2 linked regions of the Lonchura striata genome follow. The protein of the gene in region 2 interacts with the protein of the main gene of each other region in a biochemical or structural test. Links are inferred from orthologs where the notes say so. Each region holds a gene or a part of one and is shown on either strand. Other genes may lie near its edges.

The links. The genes of interacting proteins can lie anywhere in the genome.
Region 1: the proteins of RP2 (region 2) and ARL3 form a complex in vitro, tested with the Homo sapiens proteins (2 studies listed by BioGRID). The link is inferred for Lonchura striata from reciprocal best matches to the Homo sapiens genes RP2 and ARL3.

Annotation. Positions count from the first base shown.
Region 1 is NC_134609.1:20,183,875-20,191,095, reverse strand, and holds the start of ARL3 (ADP-ribosylation factor-like protein 3), read left to right. Parts: upstream 1-4,203; 5' UTR 4,204-4,298; coding exon 4,299-4,301; intron 4,302-7,221. Other genes in the region: SFXN2 (sideroflexin-2), read right to left, coding at 1-46, 118-178, 830-915, 993-1,068, 1,220-1,318, 2,200-2,370, 2,672-2,832. UniProt on the Homo sapiens protein: Small GTP-binding protein which cycles between an inactive GDP-bound and an active GTP-bound form, and the rate of cycling is regulated by guanine nucleotide exchange factors (GEF) and GTPase-activating proteins (GAP).
Region 2 is NC_134604.1:84,238,190-84,245,097, forward strand, and holds the start of RP2 (protein XRP2), read right to left. Parts: upstream 3,009-6,908; 5' UTR 2,961-3,008; coding exon 2,829-2,960; intron 1-2,828. UniProt on the Homo sapiens protein: Acts as a GTPase-activating protein (GAP) involved in trafficking between the Golgi and the ciliary membrane.

The DNA of each region.
Region 1 (7,221 bases), on a different chromosome or scaffold from region 2:
TGATCCTGGAGAGCACAACCTGCGCAATGCCCTTCACTGCTGCCCTCTGCAAGCAAAATCAGCAGGTGAGCCCCGGCAGCGCCGTGCCCCAGCCCAAATCCCCATCCTCAGACTCACCCTGGAGCAGCCGAGCTCATTGTTGTTCTCATCTGTCACTGTGATCCCGTTGATGATCTCCCTGAAGGGGACAGGCAGCCGTGAGTGGGGGACAGGATGGCCGGGAAAGCATAGGGACACAGTAACGGGGTGAGGGGGTGCCAGGGGAGTCCTTTTTACACAGTAGCCCCGGATGCCCCCAGGGCACGGGGCTCCAGCACCCCGGGGCACCACGGTCCCCAGCCCAGCCGATGCTGCCATCTTCAGGGCACAGCTGCGAGCAGGATCTGGCCATGCTAGGGACAGACACAGCTGAGCCAGGGCACAGTCCCTCACGCAGTACCTGAGCTCCTTGTGCTGTGATAACCAAGCAGCAGGCACAGGTCACAACAAAGACCCCAACTGGGGTGTCCCAGCATCAAGATATAATGGACTGGGGTTCTCCCATGACATGCAGGAGATCTTTGGGTTTGAGAGATCTTCCAGCACGGATTCCAGAGCAGCTATCCTCAGCCGAAAATCCCCCTCCTGGGTGGAGGCTGAACCATCCCACCCAGCACCCTGCACCACAGATACAGCACTGCAAATGCACAGACCCCAGTTCATCTCTCTCCAGCTCTCAAGAGGGGAATCCAAGGCAGGGAGGGCAGGCAGCCCAGGAGCTTGGCTGCCACCAGTTTGCCTTTGGAGGGAGCTGGGTCCCTCAAGCCCCCCAGCCACATGTGACACTTACTGTTGCCGCATCATGGGGATATTGACACAATTGGCAGCAGCCACAGCTGCAAAGGGGACCCAGCGGGCCAGCAAGGGTGGGGCTCGCTGTGAGAAACAGGTTGGCATCAGCACGGGAGAGCAGGATGTGCCCAGCTGCCCCACCTGGCCCTAGCCTGGCATACCTTGGTGTAGAGGTTGAGTCCCACTGCAGTGGCCAGGGCTGCACCAGTGGCCGTGACATAAGCCACCCCAATTTGCCTGGACAGCAATTTCAAAGAAGAGAGATAACAGAATCACCAACTCGGACTCAGCCCTGTTCCTTCTGTGCCCAAGACACAGCACAGAGGGTCTTTATAGGGCATCCAGGGGTGCATCAAATGGACACACTCCACCCTGTTGGGCTGCTCACCTCAGAGAGATGGGGGAGGCAGCGTTGCGGTTGGTGTAGTTGACAAAGGCATTGAAAGACTGGTTCACCCACTGCCAGAAAACCACGGCAGGCACTGTCCTGTGGAGGGAAGGGATGGGAGAGCACCTGAGGGCTGTCAGGGACACCTGGCCTGTGCCTGTGGCCAGGCTTGGCAGGGAGACAGCCAGGATGCCTGCAATCCACTCATCATGATGTCTCCAAAGGGAAACTGAGGAACTGTGGCAAAGTGACAAGCTAGTGGCAGAGCTGGGAAATGATCCCAGGAGTTCTGGTTACCCTGGGGACCATAGGAAGAGGAGGGCCCAGTCCTGCAAGGCACTTGGGCAGGGGTGGGAGACAGCTCTCAGCAGGGTGGCAGCCATCCTCTGCTGGGCTGAGATAAGCCTTTGTCAAAGCAAGCAGCAAGGCGCAGACACACAGGGACAGAAGTGGCTCTGGGGAATGAGGGTGCCTGGGTTTCTGTTGGTGTCTCAGGGACACTGACGTGGGGCAGGAAGGGACACAGGGAGCACGCTTTGGAATGCAGGGGAGTAGAGAAGGGAAATGCAGGGAGCTGTCAGCAGGGGCTGGGGATGCTGAAGCAGCCTGGCCTAGGGGCACATTTGTTCCTCAGTTTCAAAGACTGCTATGGGCCACAGACCAAGCGCAGCAGCCAAGCAGGATTTGGTTGCATTAATCATTACAGGGGCTATGGGAAGATGTCAGCTGAGCTCAGGGTGAGGTGAGACCATACCCAGCCATGCCATGGGCCAGAGGAATCTGTGATGCTTCTACCACAGGCTGGGTGCTGAGGACAGATCCCAGAGACATTGGGCTTGACCATGGGACACAGGCAAACACAGCAGCCATGGGCATGCCTTAGGCAGCACCCAGCCCCATAGAGGCAGGCTGGCTCTGCTCTGGCCATCAGGGACCTCGAGAGGGGCTAGGGGCTGTCAGGGCTGTCCCCAGGAGCTCACCGATAGAACTGGAGCATGCAGCCAGTGATGGCCATGCCCCCTGGCACCTGGAAGGACATCCTCCCAATGAGGTTCATCTTCTCACCGCTGTCAGGGTGGAAGGCTGAGTCGTACAGCTTCTTGGCATAGAGCAGCTGCTCCTGGCTGCTTCCTGGTGGCACCAACCCAGCCCTGCAAACCCAAAGCTCATCAGGGGAAGTTGCACAGACCTGCCAGCACCCAGCACTGCTGAGGCACAGAGCTCTGGGCACCACATGAAAGGCAGAGGAAACATCTCCAGAGAAGGATGCATGTCACAGCTTGAAGCTCCTGGGAGAAGCCTGGGAAACGCCCCCAAAACTACCTCCAACAGATGTTACATCACTGCACACCTGCTTGAGAATGACTCCATCCCCCTGCAACACTGCACAGTGGTTGGCATGGCCATGAGCACAGGGACAGCACCTCCCCCATCTGTATCCCTGCCTCTCACCTGCAGCCCTCCACCAGGGCCTTGGCCTGGTCCAGCTCCTCCTCTGGCACCAGCACTGTCCGAGGGTCGGTGATGTTGAGGAAGTGCTTCAGGCGGCCCACAAAGGTGCTCTGGTCCCAGCGTGGGGAGTCAATGTTGAAGCTAAGAGAAACTGTGGCCATCTTGGCGTAGGTCTGGGCAGGGAAAAAGGCCGCTCAGTAGGATCCTTTCTTGCTTGCTCATTGAGTGCACACCTGCCACAGCCACAGGAGCAGCTGGATGAGAGCCATGGCAGGTTTATGTTTAACAGGACAACTGGACTTTCAGCAGCCCTGAGCCAGGAGGCCCCTGCACTCCTGCTGTCAGCAGAACACTGCAGTCAGGCCACTCCTTCACACATCATCCTGCTTGCCTGGGGTCACCCCATTTGTGCTGCACCCCATAGCACCTCGCACCCCCTCCTTGGGGTGATATGGTGCTGTACAGCACTGTAGGGACCAGCTCAACCCTCCACAAGGCTGCCTTGCAGGCACTCCTACAGGGGCACTACTCTGCAGCCCCCGAGTATGCACAGCACCTCACACTGTGCTGTGCCTGCCACAGCACCATCCTGCACATCCCTCTAATGCTGCTCTGCACTGCCATGGCACTGCCCTGCATGCTCCCCGGGGTGCTGCGCCACATGCCCACAGTTGCACAGCACAGAATCACAGAATGAATTAGGCAGGGAAATACTTCTGAGATCATCTGGGCCCAGCCTATGACCAAACATCACCATGTCAACTACAGCATGGCTAACCTAGCCTAACCCTAGCCAAGTGCCATGTTCAGTCTTTCCTTAAACACCTCCAGGGACTGTGACTTCACCATCTCCTTCGGCTGTCCTTTTCAGTATCTAATCACGCTTCTGTAAAGGAATTCTTACTAATGTCCAGCCTGAACCTCTCCTGGCACAGCTTCAGACTGTATCCTCTCTCCTGTCGCTGGTTGCCTGGGAGAAGGGGCCCATTCCCACCTAGCTACAACCTCATTTAAAAGGTAGCTGTAGACAGCGATAAGGTCTCCGTGAGCCTCTTCTCCAGGTTAAACGCTCCCAGCTCCCTCAGCCACTCCTAAGACTTGAGCTCCAGACCCTTCGCCAATTTCCTTGCCCTTCTCTGTAAGGCACAGCAAAGCTCGGCACACCCCAGACTCGGCCCGGTATGGCACAGCCCCGGCACTCCTCCAGCGCGGCTGGGTCACGGCTTATGTCGGCCCGGCACGGCACGGCTCGGCACGGCACGGCCCGGCACGGCTCGGCACGGCACGGCCCGGCCCGGCACGGCACGGCCCGGCACGGCTCGGCACGGCACGGCACGGCTCGGCACGGCACGCCCCCGCCCCAGCCCGGCCCGCCGCGCCCCCACGTGTCCCCACCTGCGCTCCCAGGCCCCGCTCCCGCCTCCCGCCCCCGCGCTCCGCCGCGTGGCCGCCCTCAGCCAATCACAGAGCTCCGAGCGGCCGCGCCCACCTCTCCCGGCAGGGCCGGCCTCGTACGCACGCGCCGTTAGGGGGCGTGGCCCGGCGCTGGCCCCGCCCCCGGCGCGGGCACGTCGGCGCGCGGTGGGTGTGACGCAGTTGCCCATGGTAACCCCGGGCCGCGCCGAGGATGGTGAGCGGGGCGGGGGCCGGCGGGGCCGGGCCGGGCCGGGCTGGGCTGGGCCGGGCCGGGCTGGGCTGGGCTGAGCTGAGGTGAGGGCCGGGGCCAGCGCGGCCGGGGGTGCCTGAGGCCGTGGATGATCCCCCCGCGGAGCGTGGGGTGATGGGGGCTGCAGGGTCTGTCGGGCCCGGCCGGGCTCGTGGCAGGCACGGGCAGGCCTTGGGCCGTGAGAGGGGGTGCCAAGGCGATGGAACCAGGGCGGCCGAGCCAGGCTCTACTTGGTGCTGTCGGGCACTGGGGTAAGAGGTAACGGACAGAAACTGATGCACAGGAAATTCCACCTGAATACAAGAAAGAACTTTGCTGTGCGGGTGACCACACATTGGAACAGATTGCACAGAGAGTTTGTGGAGTCTCCCTCACTGGAGATATCCCAGAACCATCTGGACGCGATCCTGTGCCACGTGTTAAAGGATGACCACGCCTGAGTGGGACGTTGGAGCAGATGACCGACTGTGGTCCCTTGCAGCCTGACCCATCCTGTGACACCCACCCAGGGACCCTGGCTGGCCCGGGGTCCGAGTGCCCACCTGGGGCATCCAGCCAGGCATGGGGGCCTGGGGCTGTGCGGGTGCAGGCACCCGTAGAAAGGGATGAGAACAGTGCAAGTTTGGGGAAGACCCTGGCTGGGGTTGGGGCCCTGGCAACACACAGATGTTATGGGGAACATAAAAAAGGGGGTTGAGTCCGAAAAAAGGCAACAGAACTGGTGAAGGGCCTGGAGCACAAGTCCTGTGAGGAGTGGCTGAAGGAGCTGGGATTGTGTAGTGTGAAGAGGAGGAAACCCAGGGGTGACCTTATCCCTCTTCAGCTACCCAAAGGGAGGTCATAGACAGGTGAGGATTGGCCTCTTCTCCCATGTAGAAGTGACCCAAGTGACAGGACAGGGGAAAATAGCCTCGAGCTGTGCTGGGGAGATTCAGACTGGACATTAGGATGAATTTCTTCACAGAAAGGGTGATTGAACATTGTAAAGCACTGGCCAGGGAGGTGGTTCAATCACCATCCCTGGAAGGGTTTAGGGAGATTGGAAAGGTTGTACATGGCACTTGGTGCCATGCTCTAGTTGACATGTAAGTGTTCAGTCATAGGTTGGACTTGGTGATCTCAGAGGTGTTTTACAATCTAATTGATTTTGTGATTTTGTGAATCAGGTCTAGACAGAGGCCGGGAAGATGCTATGGGGGCTCTTTGTTGGGATGGAATCAGCATGCCTGGAGCTGATTCAGTCAAGGTGTAGAAGGTGTGATGCAGAGGTGGGTGCTTGGGAGGGCTGGGGACCAGGATGGCAGTGTCCTGAAGAGGGAAGGAGCAATGGAAGACCTTGGCAATTATGGAAGGCAGCGCTCAGAGATTGTCTGTGAAAAGTCTGGGAGCAGCTGTGACTCTAAAGGGACACTGGACAGCCCAGCCAAGATGGGAGGAGGCCACCGTGGGACTTGAATCCTGGCTGTAGAAATTGAGGGAGCTAGAGGACAGCTTGCTGAGGTGGAAGGGATGGTTTTTAATACACAGCCTGAGAAAGGGAGTTCAATCATGGCAGAGAGAGACTGGATGAAGGGGTTAGGTGTTCAGAGATGGCCAGGACAAAGTGCTCAGAGGCTGAAAGAAAACTGCCAGTTGGATGGGATGGACCGTCTGGTGAGTCAGTGGGAAAAAAACAGTCAATGTTTGGCTGGCTAGGATAGTTTGCTGGGATGTTGTGTGCTCTGGGTTTTCTGCCATGGGCTGGCAAGATGAGGGACAGTCTAGGTTCAAAAGAAGAAATAAGAATAAACTGTAGGAAAGATTGGAAGTGGAGTTTTGATGTTGATGAAAGAAAGAAAGATCCCAGGGAGAAAAGAAGTGTTGGGTGATAGAAATAAATTGTTTGAGAGGTAGTAGCATGGAATGAAGGAAAAAACTGTGTGTCTTGGGTGGAGGGCAATGCTGGGAGACAGGTGAGGTGGTGAGGGTGTAGTGCAGTCTAAATTGAGGTTGGAGGAAGGTTGGAAGATAGACCAGGGTCATCCAGGTGTTGGAAACAATTTGGGTTTAGATGCCAAAGTAGTTGGGGTGGAACAAGTGGGATGCTGGCAAAGTGCAGCGAGGACTAGAAGGAGGGGTTGGAACTATGGGTGAGGGGTGGTGAGAGAGAGCTGCTGTGGATGTGGAGCCACTCATGAGGATGCTGCATGAAGAGCGAGCACAAGCAGAAGGCAATAGCAATAGGGAAGGATATTTCCCAAGGGCAAAGCTTTATTTTGTCCAGGAGCCCTCTGGACATAAGTTGGATTCATGCAAGTAGCGGGATTCATGCATGGGAGGAGGTGTAAGCAAGAGCACCAAAGGCAGCTTCTCATCTTCACTGGGTTAATTCTGGCTGCATCCCTACCTGCTGGGTCACAGAGAAGAAGATTGAGATAAAGCCTGTGGGATCTGCTCTATTTTAGATGAGTTGGTGATGGGGCATGTCACACCAGGCACCAAAGTCATCACAGGATGGGCATCTGCTATAAAGATGAGGCAGCTGCCTCCAGCAGTGCAGTGTTTTGTGAGACACATTTGGCTTGCAGCTGCCAGATCTACTCTTCTGCCTTATGATGTCCTGATAAGCTGGTGTAGTCTGGGATCTGGCTGCTCTTATCCAGGCACTTTGTGTGCAGAGAGGGTGACTGGGTGTTCACCAGTGTTCGTGTTATTTGATACAACATTTTACTGCCTCTTTTTCTATTTTCCATTTCTTGGAGTTGTTTTTTGAATTATAACCACTCAGACTCTAGGGTGGGTGGCACTTTGGGGTGCCTGGTGGGCTGGCTGGACTGGATAGAGGACTGGAGAGCAATGCACTATCTCTCTAGATTCTCATCTTTCACTAAAACAGAACAATCAT
Region 2 (6,908 bases):
TCTAAATTTGATTACATTTTGTATACATTAAAACTTCTGTCCTCACTTAATAAAGTCACACAGAAATCTGAAAAGGTTCCTCAAGTTCATATACTTTCCTTAATTTCACTTTAGCTATCAGCATCTTATAATATTTTCTATTTAGAATTTTTTACCACATGGTCTGTTTTTGGGACTATTACACAGGTTACATGGTCACTGTAATATCATCATATTACTCTTTGTCTAGGGCTACACTAGCAGACAGTATCAAAACTAACCATTTTTTGCCATCAAAACATGATTAAAATAGGCTCAACTAGCAATGATGTCCTTCAGAAGCAGCAGAAGTAGTTTTGTTAGAGGAACCCCTCAGGTTCCCCCTGCTACACATCCCTAATCACACAAATATGCACACAAGTGTGCCTACATTTTTCTGCCGTGTCAGGATGGCATTAGTTTACAGGAAGACAGTTGGAGTGTCTGAGCAGCAAGATACCTGTAAGAATATACAGAGCATAGTTTACAAAAACTACAGACAATTACCAAACCTGCCTGTGAAACTGAACTATATAACCACAACTGCATCACAAAGTAGTAGAGCCTAAAATCAGAAACACATCCCCAACCCAAACAGTGGAAATAAACATCAAAAGAAAACCTAGCACATCTGTTGACAGAATTGAGGTTTTCAGCATTTAGAATATGATTCAATGCACTTGATGAACAAAAAGGAGTCTTGATTGACTCTTTTCCTACTTACTTCAATTTAACTTTGTGTACAAGCACAAACTTGTGAAATAAATAAGTATATATGAAGCATCAGAAATGAGAAAGCAATAGACAACAGGACAAGGTATCACAGACAACATTTAAAGCTACTACATTAACACTGACAAGGTGTCACCTAATACAAACTGGGATCAACAAGTTTAGTGCACCAAGTGTTCAGTACTCCTTCACCTAAGATAAGATAACTCTGGGTGCTTTCCTAGTTTAATGTATTACTCTTACATCTAAAAAGCCCAATGAAAAATAAGGATGCAAAGAGCAAGGGAAATTAACTTGGACATTAAACAGCCATTTTTAGGCTGTACAGTACAACACTAAGAAGCTAATTTGATGGTTTACACAGTTCACTAGCACAGCCCAAACTCACTGATTCTTCTGGTTTCTAAGAGTCTTTTACAGAAAACGAGGAAGTTTTACATGCAATACATGACCGTGGTTTTTTTACTCCACAAAGATAGATTGTTGGTGCTGTAACAGTCTCATATGTTAGCTTGAGCCTACTTCCAGCAAGTTAACAACAAACATTTCCTTAGCAACAAGGCCGGCTATTCTCTGAATCAAGTCTTTATATATCCTGACTTTCCTTCTTTTAGTTTTCAAAGTTAGCTTTATATAAGTAGAAGGGGTAAAAATTCTGTTGAGCTTTAGCCAGTAAATTTGCTCTAAAATTAAAAAATAGTATTCCAAAGGCTGATTTGGTAATTTACTTCTAGATATAGTTTTGTTCTCTCACTAAAATATGGCTTCACTACAGCCACTCCCACTGTGAGAGTAGTCTCCATACAAGTGACAGGCTGTTATCCTATCTTTCTCCGTCTGCTCCCTAAATATCTGCTATCCAGTCAAAGCAATAAGCCCAACACAGATTCCTCATCTTTATCATCAAGGAGCCAATTCCTCCAGGCCACACGCACACTCTCTAGCTCATCTCCATCTAAGCTTGTCTTAATCTACTTGAAAGACTTAAGGGCCACCCTAGAGCACCTGGCCAAGTTTAAAAAACAAGCAAGCTAAACATTCAAATAAGTTCACACATTTTCTTTTACATACTTGTAAAATATGGCCTAAAGGTTTGAGGATTTTATTTGTTGAAATCACATTAATTATGTTTTTCGCCTGCCCAGTTTTTGCCTCTCCCACCCGAAGGTAGCCAGAGAGGAGAGGAAGAGAGGCCTAGTAGGGTTACAATGTCATTACATATTTAAGAAGCGATATTTGAAATGAGGCTAGGATGAAATACATTTTATCCAGCATTTAAATGCTTTCCCGCTTGAGTCTTCGTGACTGTCTCCTGGAGCTCTGGAAACAGCACGGGAAAGGATTTGACTTCCTCTGTCTTTTTAGGGGCTAATAAACTGGTTCTACTTCCTCAAAAAAAAAAAAAAAAAAAAAAACACAACCACACGCAAAAGAAAAACCCCAAACAAACAAACAAACAAAAACCACCCCAAAGTCTTAAAAAAACCCAACCAACCAAACCTGCAGCGCAAACAGCGAAGCAGGAAGAATCAATATAGACAGTCAGGACACACGGCACGAGTTTTATGCCTCCGTTCCATGCCCGGTGCAGGGTCTCGCCCGGGCACAAGCAGCTCCCCAGCCATTAATCCCGGTTTTCTCGAGTGAAGCACGCACCCAGGGGACTCCGCGCTGTATCAGGAAGCAAGCAGACACCCGTGGGGACTGTCACAGCCAAGCTGCCTGCCCACAGGGCGCCGTCCCACCGGGAGGCAGCCCCAGCCCCCTCCGGAGCAGCCCCGCACCGGGGACCGATGCTCGCACCGCCCGCACCCGCGGCACCCAGCGCGCCGCCCTCTCCGCTTACACAATTTGAGACTGCCCGGTAAAATCCTTAGGCTAAACACTTTTTAATTGTTCAGATAAACGCACTGAACTGCACGGACCGAGCCGTAACAGCGGGACGGGGAAGGCGTGCTCCCTGCCGGTGCACACACCCCGCCGCAGAGCCCGGAGGGCAGGAGAGCGAGATGCTGCCCACTGAGAGAGGCGACAGCGATAGCCCCAGCCCCAGCCCTTGGCAGCCGCCGGGGCGGTACCTTGGCTCGCAGGTCCCAGCTGTACTGCGGCGCCTTCTGCTCGCCGGTGCCCGCGTCCTGCCCGGCTCCCGCTGGCTGCGGCTGCCGCCCGCCCTGGGCCGGCTTCCTGCGGCGGGAGAAGAAGCACCCCATGGCGCTGCCGCCGCCGCCCGGCGGGGAGAGGCTGGCGGCGGGGAAGGGCTCGCCAGCGCCGCACCGCCCCGCCCCGCCGGCTTCCGGTTTGCTCCCGTCTCCCGTAGCGACCGCGACATTTCCCCTCGCCTTTCCCTTCCCCTTCCCCGCCCCGTCCCGCTCCAGCCATCGCCTCCGGCCGGCGGAGGCGCCTGGACGGGGCGGTGCCTGGCAGCGGCGAGGCGGCGCCGCGGGGCTGAGAGGCCGGGGGCAAGCGGGGCAGTCGGTTTGTCCCGCGGTTTGTCCCGCGGTTTGTCCCGCGGTTTGTCGTGATCCGCATCGCTCCCCCGCCCCGGGGAGGGTTCGCTCCCGCCCGTCCCGCGGGAGCGGCTCGGAAGAGGCGGCGGCTGGCCGTGAACCCAGCGCTCTACCGAGGTGAAACCTGTGCCCCGCCGGAGCCATGTGCGGGTTCAGCTGTGGAAGTCGGAGGCAAAACGCCCTGTACGGGGTGTAAATACAAACCGGCTAATCCTGCATCACGTCCTTTTCCTATGGATACACCGGCGCGGTCCCCTCGGGACGCGTGCCACCGCCGTGCTCGCTTCCCTGGCAGCGCTGCCCCAGAAGACCCGGCTTCTTGCAAGTGTTTCAGAGCAGCAGAAGCAGCAAGTGGCGGCATGAGAACCCACAGCGTTCTGCTGCTTTGTGCCTCCTTTTGCAAATAGTCGGGCTTCCTATGTTGGGTTGTCGTTTGTGAGTTTGTTGTTTGGCTTGGTTTTCTTTAGCGGTTGTTTTTTTGGTGGGTTTTTTTTTGTTTGTTTTTGTTTTTTGTTTTGGTTTTTTGTTTTGTTTTGGCTTTGTTTTTTACCCCAGAAGAAAAACTCACACTCTTTTTATCAGACTGTCTGACCAGTCAAAAACATTTTCCCCGAGATTTTCTCTTCAAAATTGTCTATGATGTTTTGTTCAGTTTCTTCAGAAAGTATCCACTTGCTCTCTTGTGGGTTCCCTCATGGGCCACGCTGCGGATATTTGCACCCACTGTGGTCTTTTACATGGGCTACAGGGAAATTCTTGCTCCAGCACCTGCAGCACCTCCATCCCCTCCTTTTTTTGACCTTGATGTTCACAATGGTATTCCCCCACTTTTTTCTTCTCTCTCCTCTCTCTCTCTCTCACTGGTACATAGTGGTGTAGCCCTTCCTTAAAAATGTTTTCCCAGGGGTGCCACCGGTGTTACTGTTGAGGCTCAGCCATTCCCCATGGTGGGTCTGTTGGAGGTGTCTGGAAGTGGCTGTGTCCGGTGTGGGACAGCCCTTTTTCCTCACAGAGACCACCCATGCTGCCAGCACTTGGTCACCTACACATAGTTCATACCCACTAACAAAACTTCTGGGACATTTTGTGTTAAGAAGAGGATGGCATTCCTGCTGTAGGAATAGAAGAGATGAGAACCAGGAAATGTAGCAGAGCAGTGCTGTGCCAGTTGTGCAGGTTGAAAGGCTTGTCCAGCTCAGGGCCCTGAGAACAGCAGAAAGGAGGAAGTGGAAGCAATTGCTCATAAATGGTTGCTAAAGAGGAGGGGTGACTGACACCCTTTTTGGCGTCATCTGTGCTGCAAAACCATATACCTGGGCAGTAGTGAAGCCTGCTCTGAGCTTTTGAAGCTACAGTTCAAGTCAATAGCTACCCTCAACACCACCAAGGACAGCTTTACATCTCAGTTGAAAAGTGGATTTTCTCTATGAGCCATTTCCTGGGTTTCTTGAGCACTGGTTTGCTGATCTTCATCTAATCCTCTGTGCACCAGCTCTTTCCTCCCAAGTTTTGTCTTAAACCATTACACATGGTGTGTCCAGCTAGGACAGTCTGAGACTGTTTGCGAATGCAGGAGTCTGATACACCCTCACCTCTTCTTGCTCACTCTCTGAAAGTCTAAGAGTCCTCCAACACCCCTGTGTATTTCATACAGAGTAGCAAAGTTCTGCAGCCTTTAGGCTACCAGGCTCCTCTTTCTGTGCATCCATTAAAAAAATAAATAGAAGGAATAAAAAGCATTTTTGTTAAAAATTAAAATACCATACTTGTCCTGCAAAATTATCAGTCCTATGAAAATACAGGATTTTTGTATGACTACAGCTGATCAGGAGAAGCCATAGATTTTATTTCTCTGTCATAACACAACCTCTCAAGCTCTAGGGTGTCTCCTGACACCAAAGCCCCAGAGTACTTATGCCTGAGCAAATTAATATGACTTCTATAAGCACATAACTTCTTAAGAAATCGCAAATGCGTCTTTCAATTCTTCATTCTCTACTCATCTGCCAGCCAGACCCAACCCTCTTGGCTTCTGAGATTTGATACAGTCATAGACCGAAGTGTAGTAATACAAGATTGCAATAGTATCATAGTCACTACCAACCATGACTACACTCATCTTAATTTCAAAAAACTGCTGTAATCAGTGATTTGCCTCATGGGGGTGTTGTGAAATATATCTAATTACAGTCTAATACAGAGTTTTGTGGTCTCAAAGAGTGGTATGTAGATAACTGAAAAATAAAACATTTTCTTTGTAAAGGTTATAGTCTAAGGTATTTGGTGAAAGAGACTTGCTCCATTGATGACTTCTGGGCACATGCAGCCTCACAAGGAGGCTTTCAGATCTCTGTTGTCCTTCCCAGGGGGACAGTGATGCCATTCTCAGGCAGGTGGGCAAAGCACCTGCATGGGCTGTGTCTCTGTATGGACTGGCTCTTATCCCCACAATGCTTGAAAGTGCTTGCATGCCCACAGATAAGATTCTGACTCCCTTTCCTCCTTTTGTTTGACACTCTTCTGTATTGCCCCAAAAGCACAGAGAGGGAGTTCTCAGTAAACATCAGGATCTGGAAACCTGCCCAGGTCTTAAGCAGGTATCTTAAGGAAGCAAGAGCTCACTGTGTGAACATCCGCACTTCTCCTGTCTTGGGCTAGGATCTGTTTGTCTTGGTAGTGTTGGAAGCCTGACAAAATGCACAAAGCCAAACTCTCACAGTCTTCTTCCTCATGAGATTCATTGTATCCTCTGTGTGTTCTCTTAAAGCGCTTGTAATCATACCTTTATGACAAAATCGAAGTGTGTTTTGTTTAAAGCAGGTTTTTAATCCTGTTGGTTATAGAGAAAACCTTGAAAATATAATTTCCAAGACATGAAAATAAAGAAAACAGAAGAGCTTAAATATTATTACTCTCTAAAAGCTCCTTTCATGTTTTCTATCAGGAAAGATTATAAATCCTGTGTTTGAGATCCTAGAAACTTATCTAAAATTGATATAAAGGTTTGGAAATAATTCCTAGTTAAGATTAGATTAACCTATAATCATACAAAATTGCGAATTACAGATGAATCCTTCCACAGTATTCAATTCCTTACATAGTATTCAACAGAAAGGAAGGGAAGGATACTTTACTGCTGGGCTCACTCTCTGAGGCTGTGTTTTCATACACATTTAAGACAGAACTGCCACAGAAATCATCCCTTGCCTCCAGCAGCTTATTTAAATCCTCAACCACCTATGCAGTGGGACAGCACAAATATTTGCAGACTTGGTAAACTGTGTTGGAAAACAGACAAATGTGTAAAACAACCATTTCAATCAGACATCTATGCCTTTCAGTCTCATATACTTTTTCCCCTTTTTTTCTTTTCTTTTTTTTTTTTTTCTTTTTCAGAAGCAGATGATGAATATACAGACTAGGATTTTCACATAGAGTCATCACATACTATGAGGTCATTTTGGCCTTTTTTGGTCTCTTTATCAGATTCTCTCCTGCTGGAGATTCTTGCCAGACTGAACACCCAAGAGAAGCTAGTCTGCAACTTGAAACTGGGTAGAACAAATAATATGGCTAATTTTGTGACAAGATGTACTAGAATCTGTTTTGCATTGCTAATGGGGATTTTGGACTAATGTCCTCCCCATTTTC